Sus scrofa: one gene and its partners. The protein of the gene in region 2 interacts with the protein of the main gene of each other region in a pairwise test. Links are inferred from orthologs where the notes say so. Each region holds a gene or a part of one and is shown on either strand. Other genes may lie near its edges.

What was found.
Region 1: the proteins of HAP1 (region 2) and TAF1D interact in a two-hybrid assay, tested with the Homo sapiens proteins (2 studies listed by BioGRID and IntAct). The link is inferred for Sus scrofa from reciprocal best matches to the Homo sapiens genes HAP1 and TAF1D.
Region 3: the proteins of HAP1 (region 2) and HMOX2 interact in a two-hybrid assay, tested with the Homo sapiens proteins (2 studies listed by BioGRID and IntAct). The link is inferred for Sus scrofa from reciprocal best matches to the Homo sapiens genes HAP1 and HMOX2.

Annotation. Positions count from the first base shown.
Region 1 is NC_010451.4:26,164,483-26,168,421, forward strand, and holds the start of TAF1D (TATA box-binding protein-associated factor RNA polymerase I subunit D), read right to left. Parts: upstream 2,801-3,939; 5' UTR 2,650-2,800; intron 893-2,649; 5' UTR 792-892; coding exon 733-791; intron 1-732. UniProt on the Homo sapiens protein: Component of the transcription factor SL1/TIF-IB complex, which is involved in the assembly of the PIC (preinitiation complex) during RNA polymerase I-dependent transcription.
Region 2 is NC_010454.4:20,941,467-20,944,966, forward strand, and holds part of HAP1 (huntingtin-associated protein 1), read left to right. Parts: intron 1-43; coding exon 44-160; intron 161-286; coding exon 287-447; intron 448-640; coding exon 641-743; intron 744-821; coding exon 822-888; intron 889-3,172; coding exon 3,173-3,303; intron 3,304-3,500. UniProt on the Homo sapiens protein: Originally identified as neuronal protein that specifically associates with HTT/huntingtin and the binding is enhanced by an expanded polyglutamine repeat within HTT possibly affecting HAP1 interaction properties.
Region 3 is NC_010445.4:37,865,333-37,869,595, reverse strand, and holds the start of HMOX2 (heme oxygenase 2), read left to right. Parts: upstream 1-1,463; 5' UTR 1,464-1,535; intron 1,536-4,263.

The DNA of each region.
Region 1 (3,939 bases), on a different chromosome or scaffold from region 2:
ATTCTCTTGTTACACAACAGAATGATTTAGTCAGGAAAATACCAATTTGGCCCAGAGAATACACTCCTGATTTGATTCCCTGGGTTACAAACACGTCCCACTATTCCAAAGTAGTTAAAGCGAAAGTCTGTGGAAACTGGGTTTTCCTTTTTTTCCAATTCTTAAAAATTACCTTACAAACTATTCATTATCTACAATGATGCATGCTATCACAGCAATTCCAATACAGTAAACATTATCACCTAGTCTGTTCCCAGGAAAACCTGGTGGTAGTTAACTGAGAAATAAAAACACTGCCTGCTCTATCAGTAAGCAAAGGATGTCAGTCATCAGTGATTTCAGCCACCTCCGATGGTGAGCTGGTGAGCCCTGAGCGAACACAGGCAAGAAACACCTGCCAGCCAGCAGCCACACCATATAGTGAGCCCTGAGGAAACTCAGGATGGAAAAACAGGGGATACTGGCTAGAGACAGCTGAGGTGCACATCAAAGACGTTATTTCAGTGAACCCAGACCTTGGCATCTTCTCATACAAAGACATGTGCTGAATTCCTTAACTTGAGGTTATCTGCCCTTCGTTACAGGACCCTCCCCTTGTCACCCTGCAAGAGTTCTCTCTGGGTTACTTGAGATGCTGCCTCCTAGACTTAAATCCTCATTTTGCCCCAAATAAAACTTAACTCACAGTTGTGCATATTTTTTATGTAGACATTTTTTTAGAAAAACACTTACCTTTGATTCTCAATTTCCAAAGCTGAATCAGAAACTGTTGTACAATTGTGAGAATCCATCTTGATATATAGTCTTCAAGCTCCTCTCAAAATTGTCACTTGTCCTTTGCTTTAAACAGACTTCTGACCATATGAAATCTGGTAGATGTGATGTAGTTTCCCTGAACAAATAAATGCCAACAAAACAGCTAGGATCAGAGTAATGCAGATATTGATGTAGTCAATTACGAAAATTAAGACAAAAATGAATGTAAGGCCTTTAATATTCTCATATACAACTGTCTAATTCTAACATCTAAAGATTTTATTCATGGGTTCTTTCAGTTGTGCCTACTTAATCCATCCTATAGAACAAGATTCCAGATTTCCTACAGGAGTGTCAAACTTCTTTTCCCTAACAGTAAAAATGTAATTTTTACCCTTAGCCATACAGTCATGTAGTTACAAATAGTAATGTTCAATTAATGGCCAAAAAGCCATTTGCCAACAGTGGTGGGAACCAAGAAATCTCTTGCATAACAAAGATTAAGTCCCACAAAGGCAGCCTTTGGCCTCAGTATACCCAGAAAAATTATTTGGACTTACCTAAACCTAACCTTCAGGTCTGCAATTTTCATTTATGGCCTCTTTCCCTCACTAGATTTTAAGTTACTGTGAAACCCCTTCCTTGATAAATTACTTCTTTGCTACTATGGGTGTTAACCCAAAGTTCTGAATTCTCACTTTTCAATGTACAGACTACAATAAATGGTGCCCTTTGTCTCCTTTAAAAAAAAATCTCCTTGGAAGATTTTACAGTAGTTTGGGAAAAGTATTAAAGATGTCTTATTTTGTTCTGTTTCATTTCCTTATGAGGATGTCATCATTCTTCATTTTTTTGTGGTGTTCTTAGTCTAACATTCTTAGTAATGACACATGAGTAATGATGAAAGAAATCCTTCAGCAGCAGTATTTGAAATCTAAGAAATCAATAAGATCACCTAGATCTTAAATTCACAATGTCTCATGGACTCGTGTGATAATTTCATAGTGTTTTATTGCAGTTTTCAAAACTGCGTTAACCTAAGAAATAAATCATGAAAACAGCCTAAAAAAGAAATTCAACAAAAACTGGATCCAATGGCAATGATGGAATACCTGACATTAAGTTTAAAATAATTACAGAGCACACTATCAAAATTAAGTAAGCTTAACTCAAAAATGTTTTTCAAGAGTTTCTATTGTGGCTCAGTGGGTTAAGGACGGGACGCTGTCTCCGTGAGGATGCGGGTTCAATCCCTGGCCTCACTCAACGATCCCGCGTTGCTGCAAGCTGCTTGGGTCACAGATCCAAATCGGATTCTGCATGGCTGTAGTGTAGGCCGGCAGCTGTAGCTCCGGTTCAACCTCTAGCCTGGGAACTTCCATATGCTGCGGGTGTGGGGATAAAAATAAGAAAAAAAAACTTTCGGGAACTAGAAAGCATTCCTATCGCTTCCTGTTCCGGGATTCTGCAACAAGGGGCCACGGAGCCAGGCAGTGCTCTTTAGCAGCTTTAACAAAATCCCTTCAACTCTTACTTAGTGCGACCTTGGGGCGAATGTCTCCAGAAGTGCCTAACCTCGTGCAAGGAAAATGGCGTCGGTAACGGTTACCTCGCACTTAACCACCACTAATTGAGAAAACGTGCACTCGCTTCAATACACTTGCACTTCAACACCCACAACTCCGATAACGGCCCACGCGCTTAGCCTGTACCTGTGAGTCCTGCCGCCCAGAGCAGAGCCCACAATCACCGCGAGCCCTCCGCTCCCGCTGAGCCGCGCAGGCGTCCCGGGAAAAGTGAAAAGCGCCAGGCCCTCCCCCTCCTTCGCCCACAAGGCCCCGGCGCCCAAGTCCTCTTTCCTATCCGTCCAGACCGCGGACGGCTTATACCAACCTGTGCCCGCTCTGCGCACGGGTCTCCGTTGGCGTCCTCGGTTGCAGCCCCGGCCTCAGAAACCCGCGTTGGGCGCGCAGGCCCAGAAAACACCCAACCTCCACAAACGCGCGGAAGAAAAGGCTGGGCTAGTCCCGCGTCCCAGCTAATAGTGGCCCCGAAGTCTCGCGATAACAATTTGACTGCAGGAAATAACAGAGAGATAGGAGAAAACCAGACGCGGCGCTCCATATTGGCTGCCGCGAGGGGCGGGGCGATTTAGAGTGGGCGGGACCTGAGCTTTTTAACCCAGGGGAGGCGGACTTGACTGAGGCCAGGCCAGGCTTCTGGTGTACGCGTCCTGAACCGGTAAGGTAAATGGAATAGTCAAGAACGTTTGGGCAAACTATGAAAAAGAAATTGTGGGGGCAGGGGAACGGAATGAATGTGAACTGCGAGGAAGAGCCACTTCTCCTGCTTTGACTCCAGTGGTCTCCCTTTGCTGAGCTGTCCTCCGACTTTCCAAAGTCTGATTCCGGGTGTGTGTGTTTGTGTGTGTGTCTACTTTTGCCTTCAAAAATCTCTTCTGTGTAAAATTGTGAGAGGATCATGCTGTGACTGAGAATCGAAATGTGTAACCTTTGTACTAGAAGCCATTGTTATCCAGTTACGCACTCAGTTCCCTCTCCACCTTCGGACTTGTTTTGTTAACTCAGTCTTTCTTTTGGAACTAAGGGTCAGCCTCCCAGGAGGTGGTTAACACATCGCAAGAGATGCCAGCGGGGGCCTTTTTTTTTTTTCTTTTTAGCCCTCTTAGTTCCCTGAGCGGTAAATGAGTGTTAAGGTAGAAGTTAAACTAGTTTAGTTTTGGTGGCAATTTTTTCCCCCGAAGTAGTTACAAAAAAGGAATGAGCTGTCCTGATTTGTCTACTTTCAGACCTCTTGTATCATATAATAAAACCAGGAAAGCTGTCTCGTGTTAATTTGTGGTTAGTGTCATCTCGGGATAGGACAGACCTGGAAGGTAATCAGGTTTCTTTACTCAATTTTTCTCTAAATGTTGTTCTAAATTCCAGGCGCAGAAAGTCTGGTTTTCTAGGCATTATGAAGTACTGTCAGCTCCAGGACAGGTATCACATGTCTTAGTCACTGCTATATTCCTAGGCAGGCCTGCATATGCAGTTTGTGAAGCTCAGTACAAAATGAAAATGCATGTATTTTATATGCATAACTGATTCACTTTGCTGTAAACCTGAAGCTAATAAACATGGTAAATCACATATACCCCAATAAAATTTTATTCTATTTTAT
Region 2 (3,500 bases):
GAAACCAGGAAGGTTTTCCCCATGGATGGGGGTCCCTCTGCAGAGAGAACGGGACCTGAACACTGCAGCTCGCATTGGCCGGTCCCTGGTGAAACAGAACAGTGTTCTGACGGAGGAGAACAGCAAGCTGGAAGCCATGCTGGGCTCGGCCAGGGAGGAGGTACCAGGGCGCCGGGGGGAGGAACCAGGAGGGGGCGTATCTCAGGCCTGCCTCCATCTCACTGTGCCAGGATCTGTGCCTGCCCCTGTCTGCACCCCGACCCCAGGCTCTTCTTCCTCTGGCCAGATTTTACATCTCAGGCACCAGGTGAGCCTGCGGGATGACCTTCTCCAGCTTTACTCGGATTCTGATGAGGAGGAGGAGGAGGAGGAGGAAGGTGAAGAGGAGGAGGAAGAAGAAGAGGAAGAAGAGGAGGAGGAAGATGGGGAGGAAGAAGAAGAGCAGAGGTGAGATCATTCCTACAAAGCTTCGGAGCTGTGCGTGACCTGCTGGTGCATCTGGGTACCCCTTCTCTGAGCCCCGGTTTTCTTGTTCACCATGGAGACACCTTGTACCCGACCACCGCAGGCAGCCCTGGGTGGGCTGCGAACTGGGTGCCCCATGCCCTTGCACCCTGACTCCCATGGCTCCCTCCTCTAGGACCCCTCTGGCAGAGTCAGAGTTGCACTGCTGCCCGCAGCTGGAAGCCCTGCAGGAGCAGCTGAGGCTGCTGGAGGAGGAGAACGAGCAGCTGCGAGAGGAGGTGAGGATGGGGAAAGAGGGCGCGCTGGTGAGCACGGGGTGTTGACTCCCCTGCCACTTCCTCTCTCGCTCCCTCCAGGCCTCCCAGCTCGACGACCTTGAGGAGGAGGAGCAGATGCTCATTCTGGACTGCGTGGAGCAGTTTTGTAGGTGAACTTGTAACTTGGCATAGGGGGCTGTCCTGGGGAATGGAGGGAAGAGCCCAGGATGAGTCTGGAGACTTGGAATTCAAGGCACAGCTCTGGCACTCCCTAGCTGTGTGACCTTGGCCAATTTCCTTGACCTTTCTGAACCTTCATCTTTAGAAAGGGGATGAATGATCTTGGCCCTGCTGACCTCTCCAGGGGGGCAGCTGAGGAAGTGCTTTGTACAGATGCATGGGGGCTCCACTAAGCCCATCTCCTTTTGTTCTTTGGGGAGAGGGAGGGGCTGCTAGAGACCAGGCACCCTGGGCACTGGGCCTGGGACAGTTCAGAGTCACACAGTAGACAGAGGCTGTGCCTGGAATTTAAGAAGATGAGTGAGGCACAGCATTTGTCTCCGAGGAGCTGGGGTCTAGCTGGGGAGATGCAGACTCAAGATGGCAACACTTGAACCCATGCTGTTCCCCTCACCCCAAATCTGCCTTCCCTGCCCCTGGTTGCTTGAATGCCCCTCTCCCCCCAATCCTGGTCCCAGGCCCCTGGAGTCGGAGCGAGTCCCCACGTTCTGTTGCTTCTACCTCCTAGGATAGGCTCACGTCTCTGTCCTCTTGCCCACCCCAGCTGCCTCTAGCCCAGGCCTCCTCTTAACTGCTCTCTCTGCCTCCACTCCTGCCATTCCAGGCCCTCTGCACACAGCCCAAAGGGATTTTGTAAAACCAGATCTGGGAGTTCCCACTGTGGGGTTAAGAACCTGACATAGTGTCCATGAGGATGCAGGTTCCATCCCTTGCCTCGATCAGTGGGTTAAGGATCTGGTGTTACCACAAGCTGCAGTGTAGGTCATGGATGGAGTTCGGATTCAGTGTTGCTGTGGCTGTGGCATAGGCCTGCAGGTGCAGCTTGTGATTCAACCCTTAGCCTGGAGGAGTTCCCGTCGTGGCGCAGTGGTTAACGAATCCGACTAGGAACCATGAGGTTGCGGGTTCGGTCCCTGCCCTTGCTCAGTGGGTTAACGATCCGGCGTTGCCGTGAGCTGTGGTGTAGTTTGCAGACGAGGCTCGGATACCGCGTTGCTGTGGCTCTGGCGTAGGCCAGTGGCTACAGCTCGGATTCGACCCCTAGCCTGGGAACCTCCATATGCCGCAGGAGCGGCCCAAAGAAATAGCAAAAAAAAAAAAAAAAAAAAAAAAAAAAGTCAACCCTTAGCCTGGAAACTTCCATATGCCTCAGGTGGGGTCTTAAAAAAACAACAGGGAATTCCCATCGTGGTGCAGCAGAAAGAAATCCAACTAGTATGCGTGAGAATGTGGGTTTCATCTCTGGCCTTGCTCAGTGGGTTGGGGATCCGGCCTTGCTGTGAGCTGTGGTGTAGCTTGCAGACTCGGCTTGGATCTGGTGTTGCTGCGGCTATGGTGTAGGTCGGTGGCTGTAGCTCCAATTTAATCCCTAGCTTGGGAACTTCCATAAGCTGCGAGTGCGGCCCTAAAAAAAAAAATCTGTTTATGTCACTCCCCTGCCTAAACACCTCAAAAACTTCCCACTGTCCACATAATAAGCCCCAGCCTCCCTAACCTGTCTACTGCCCCGCCACCCTCTCCTGATGTCCCATAATTGCCTCTGGGTCTCTCCACACCCTGCCTTCCCTTCTGCCTGGTGAGCCCCATTTGCCCTGTGGCAGTCTTAGCTTCTCAGATTGTGCCAGGCTAGCCTGGCTGCTGCATCAATGCCCCCGCTGCACCCGTTAGCCATGCTGCATCCCAGCCCGTGATATGCACGACTGTGATTCTTTTTCCCTGAGTCTCCTCATGAGTCTGGAGCTCAGTGAGGGCTGGGGCTGGTCTTGCTGACTCGCTTACCCTATGTCAGTCAGAAATGTGTACTGAAACTGAAGACCCAGAGTTCCCGTCATGGCTCAGTGGTTAATGAACCCGACTAGTATCCATGAGGATGCGAGTTTGATCCCTGGCCTTGCTCGGTGGGTGAAGGATCTGTAGGTTGCCGACATGGCTTGGATCGGGTATGGCTGTGGTGTAGGCCGGCAGCTGTAGCTCTGATTTGACCCCAGCCTGGGAGCATCCGTATGCTGAGCGTGTGGCCCTAAAAAGACAAAAGACAAAAAAAAAAAAAAAAAAAAAAAAGAAAAGAAAAAGAAGGAAGACTCGAGTGAGGGATGCTAAGCTCTGCGGAACCTTGGGTACTCGGCAGGAGCTGAGGGGCACTGGCGATGGAGGTGTCTGGGAGGCTGAGGGCCTGGGGGGCCAGGGCTGACCTCCGCCCTCCCCCCCAGCGGAGGCCAGCCAGCAGATGGCCGAGCTGTCGGAGGTGCTGGCGCTCCGGATGGAGAACTTTGAGCAGCAGCAGAGGGAGGTCGCCCAGCTGCGGGCCCAGGTGGTGAAGCTGCAGCAGTGCTGCCGGTCGGTGCGTTGGGGCTTGTGTGGGGCTCCCTCCTCTTGCCAGGGCCATGCCCCCTTCCCCCTGCCCCCACCCCATGGCGCTCTCAGCTCAGAGGCCCAAGGCCCCTCTCTGGGTCAGTGTCAGAGTTGGAGGAGACCTCAGAGAGCTCCTTGTCCTGTCCCCTCGTCCCAAGTCAGGGACCGAGCCCAAAGAGGGACACG
Region 3 (4,263 bases), on a different chromosome or scaffold from region 2:
TGGGACCAGAGTGACTCCAGTGCCCTTTGGCCTTGCTAAACGTTAAGACTGGAAATCAGTGCAGGCCGTGAGTGACAAGGAACAGATATCTTCCCCAGGCTTCTGGTCAGTGATGCTGGTGCCAGGGAGCTGTCCCAAAGTGGGCAGGCAGACGGGCAGCCTGGGTGAAGTTCTTGTTTCTTGAAGCCCCAGCAAACTGATGGTCCCCAAAAGCCTGAGGGAAGCGATTTGGCTACGGACTGGCATATGCTCAGCCGTGACTCAGCATTTCTTGTGGGATTTTATATCTGACAAGGACTTGCTGCAAAACACTTGTTACCCAGCCCAGTGACATGTACAAGTGATGATAACAGTGGGAAGCCTTTCCTGGGCTCCTCCTATGTGTCAGGCACAGACTTAGCCCCACATTATCTCATTTGACCTCTTGAGGCAACCCCTCCTTCAATCAGTGTCACTTGGTTTAAACCAATTTGATGTGTGTGTTGGGGGCAAGGTGCAGTACAGTGTGTAAAAAAAAAAAAGAAATTCATTCTTTTACATTTGATTTTGATAGCCAAATAATGCGTGACTCATTTATTCATTCTTATAAAAAATTTAAATTGTACAGATATAGCACAAGTGACCCCGACATCCCTCTATCATTCTAGTGTGTAAAATTTCCCTTTTGGATGCATTTACGTGCCTAAATATATGTATGGAAAGATTACATTGTGAGGAGTTCCCACTGTGGCACAGTAGGTTAAGAAACCGACTATAGGAGTTCCCATTGTGGCTCAGCAACCTGTGCCACAAGCTGCAGCAATAGCCGGCCAGTTGCGCCACAAGGGAACTTCTCACCCTTCCTTTTGACTGGCACAACTTTATTGAAAGGATGTGCCTCTGTCAACTCCATCCCATCCCCTTTTGATGGTCAGATATTTAGGTTGTTTGAAGGTTGTCATTGAAATGGTGTTGCAATGAACGTCCTTGTTGGTGTCTCTTTGGCTTCTAGTGCTTGTCTAGAACAGCTACCCCTAAGTGGAAGCACTGGATCAAAGAGAATACCTATTCCAAGTTTTAACACATCTTTCCAGACAGTTTCCCCCTTCCACAATAATTCCAAGAATTACTGTTCGTTCCCCACACCTTTGCCAATACCGGACAAAACCAGTCTTTCAAGCTGCAGCCAGGTGGATGGTTACGGAAATGACTGGAAACCAGTGTGGCTCGAACAGAAGGGGCAGGTGGAGCCCAACGCGATGAGCCTGAAGCGGTGGCGACACGGAGCAAGAAAAGCGCTAAGCACAGAGCGTCCTCATAAACACCCCTCCTACCAAGCCGAGTTTTCACTCCCCGGCGGTCGGACTTCCGTAGCGGGGCGGAGCGCGGAGGGGCCGGGGAGCGCAGCCCCGCGCCCGCCGCAGGGGCGTGTCCTCCGCAGGTCCCGCCTCCGCGCGTGCGCACGTCGGGCCGCGCGCTCCGCTGCGGCGCCCGAGGGAGTCGCCGACCGACGCGCGGACGCGGTGCAGGCTGACTGCGAGGCGGCCCCGCGGCCGGTGAGTGTCTGCGGTCTGCGCGGTCTTCCTTCCGACTCCTCGGAGGGCCTGGCAGGCCTGGGCCCTCGGGAGCTGGGCAGGGCCGGCCACGTCCCGCCGCCCACCTGAGGGAGCAAGGGCAGGCCGGGAACGGGGCGGGGGGGACCCCGCTTCCCAGACATGGTTGCGGAGGCCCGGGGAGGCCTGAACCGCCCGTTCGCGCTGGTCCCCGTTGAGCCCACCCCCCGCCGGCGTCACAAGTGCCCCGGGGGAGCTGACCCCCGGGTCGCGGGCGGACTTGGCGTCCCCAGCGGGGCTCGCAGCCGGTATCTGCCAGCCGGCACGTCCGTCCACCTTGGTCGGGCGAGGACCCGGACCTGGGCCGGCGTCGAGCTGTTGGGCCCGGGCTCTGCCCTTACTCCTCCTGACTCACCTCGTTCCGAGGGCCCTTTGAGTCCCTGTCACGACTTCCCGAGGGACCTGCGGCCGCCAGATAGCGAGAGACCAACGTCAGGGGCAGCCGGTGGGTTGGTCTGGCGGGAAGTCTACCTGTCGCCTCATAATCGCAGTGCCTAGGTGTGTACTGATTGCCACGTAAAAGCTGCCAGGGTCGCCTTGCTCAGTCTTTGCACAAGGCCTGTCCTTGTCATGCCGTTGAAATTGATTCCGAGGAACGGTGGCTGGGGCTGTTCGTGCTTATTGTGTTGTATTCGTGGCTCTTAGAAGCACCCACAGCGGAGCGTGACTGAGAAAGGGTACACATCGTCTAGTGCGCTCGGGTTCAGGAAGTCCTCTCCCTCAGCCCCTCACAAAGCCCTGTGAGTTGATGATTTTCCCACTTGTAACGTGGGGTTAATGACGAGTCTCAGGTTGACAGCCTCGAGCTGCATTTCCCAACCAAGAAGATGGCACAGATGGTTTGTACCTGGTCATCTGTCCCCAGATCCCATGCTCTTTCCTAAGTAGAGTTGTAGAGATTGGAAATGGATTAAATTGTCTTCCCCTCCTGCTACACTGTCCTCCCAAGTAGTAGGAAACAGGAGCTTACTGCTTTTATATTTTTGAGTTTCTGTTATGGCATTAACCGGGGTGGGTTTTTTTTTTTTTTTTAATTTTAACTGCCCTATTAAAATTTTTAGTTTTTCTGAGATGTATAAAGAATATAAATGAGTAAATCTGTGCTTTATTCATTAGTTTTTTGTTTTTGTTTTTTAAAGAAACATCACAGGACAAAACATCATATACTTAGCAGGAGCTCACAGTTCAGTTGGGCATTTACAAGTTTACTGGGTGAACTTGGAAAAAGTTTTTGAATACAGTATCTAAGGCCAGTCACTGGTGAGGGTATGAGAATTGGAGGGACCTTGGAAACATACTCATTGAGTGACCTCATTTGCCTGGGGATGAGAAGAGGAAAAACGTGTGTCTTCCCCATTGTCTGACTTGATTTCCGTTTTTCCTTTGCCTGGACCAGTAAGGTGAGATCCTGTCAGTCACCAGAGTCAGGAGTATGAACTGCTTTAGAAAATGACAGTGCCGAGAAGATGAGTTACAGAAAGTAAAATATTCATTGCTTTTGGCTCACCCGTTGTTGAGTCTGTTGAAAAGCAAAACTGGACAGACATCTGCGGCCTTTGGGCTACCTTGATTTTTTTTGTTTCATTTTATTTATCATTATTATTTTTTTGTCTTTTGTCGTTTTTAGGGCGGCATCCGTGGCATGTGGAAGTTCCTAGGCTAGGGGTTGAATTTGAGTTAGAGTTGCTGGCCTACACCACAGCCACAGCAACTTGGGACCTGAGCTGCGTCTGCGACCTACACCACAGCTCATGGCAAGGCTGGATCCTTAGCCCACTGAGTGAGGCCAGGATCGAACCCATGTCCTCATGGGTACTAGTCAGGTTTGTTAACTGCTGAGCCACAATGGGAACTCCTGGTTTCATTTTAAAATACTGACTCTCTTCATAGGACAGTTGAGCTCTGTGTCAGATTTGCACCAAAGACTGAAGTATCACTGCTCTAGGAGAAAGATATTTTTGAAAATTGGGATTGTATATTTCAGTGTAAAATTTAGAATTTAACTTGTAACTCTTTGGAGAGAAAAATAAAAAATTGGAACAATGAATTACTTCCTTGTGTGTTATTGGCCATAGTTAACTAAAAAGTTATAAATAGACGTTTAATGCAATCTCTTTTTCTCATAGCACTTAAGGGGAGAATTAAGAAATCTGGGTCACGTCTCCTTTTGTGTTGAACACAGTGAAGGTTATTTGCTTTTTAATTTATTATATTTGTCATGTTTGTTTGTGTGAAAATCGTCAGATGAAAGCTCTGTCTTTTCTGGTAATCTGAATAATCCCTTAGGATATTTTGGCCCTGCTGAGCAGCAGTGCCATTACCAATTAACTCTTGCCAGCAAGTGGTGGTGGTGGGGCTGTCTTTAATTGGAACAGTTAATATAATTACCTATTTATACTGGGGGGGGAGTCTTCCCATTTTTTTTTCTTATATGGAAGATATTTCACTCTGGTGACCACTGAGGTGGTCTGTGATATTGTTCATTCTGTGGTTTACTTTTCCATATTGACTTCATGTATTTGCCATGCAGTCCATAAGATGTCCCCCATTATATTACACTTTTTTTTTTTTTTTTTGGTCTCTCCCACAGCATGCAGAAATTCCCTGGGCCAGGGAGCAAACCCTCCCCACAGCTGTAACCAGAGCCATGGCAGTGACAACACTGCATCCT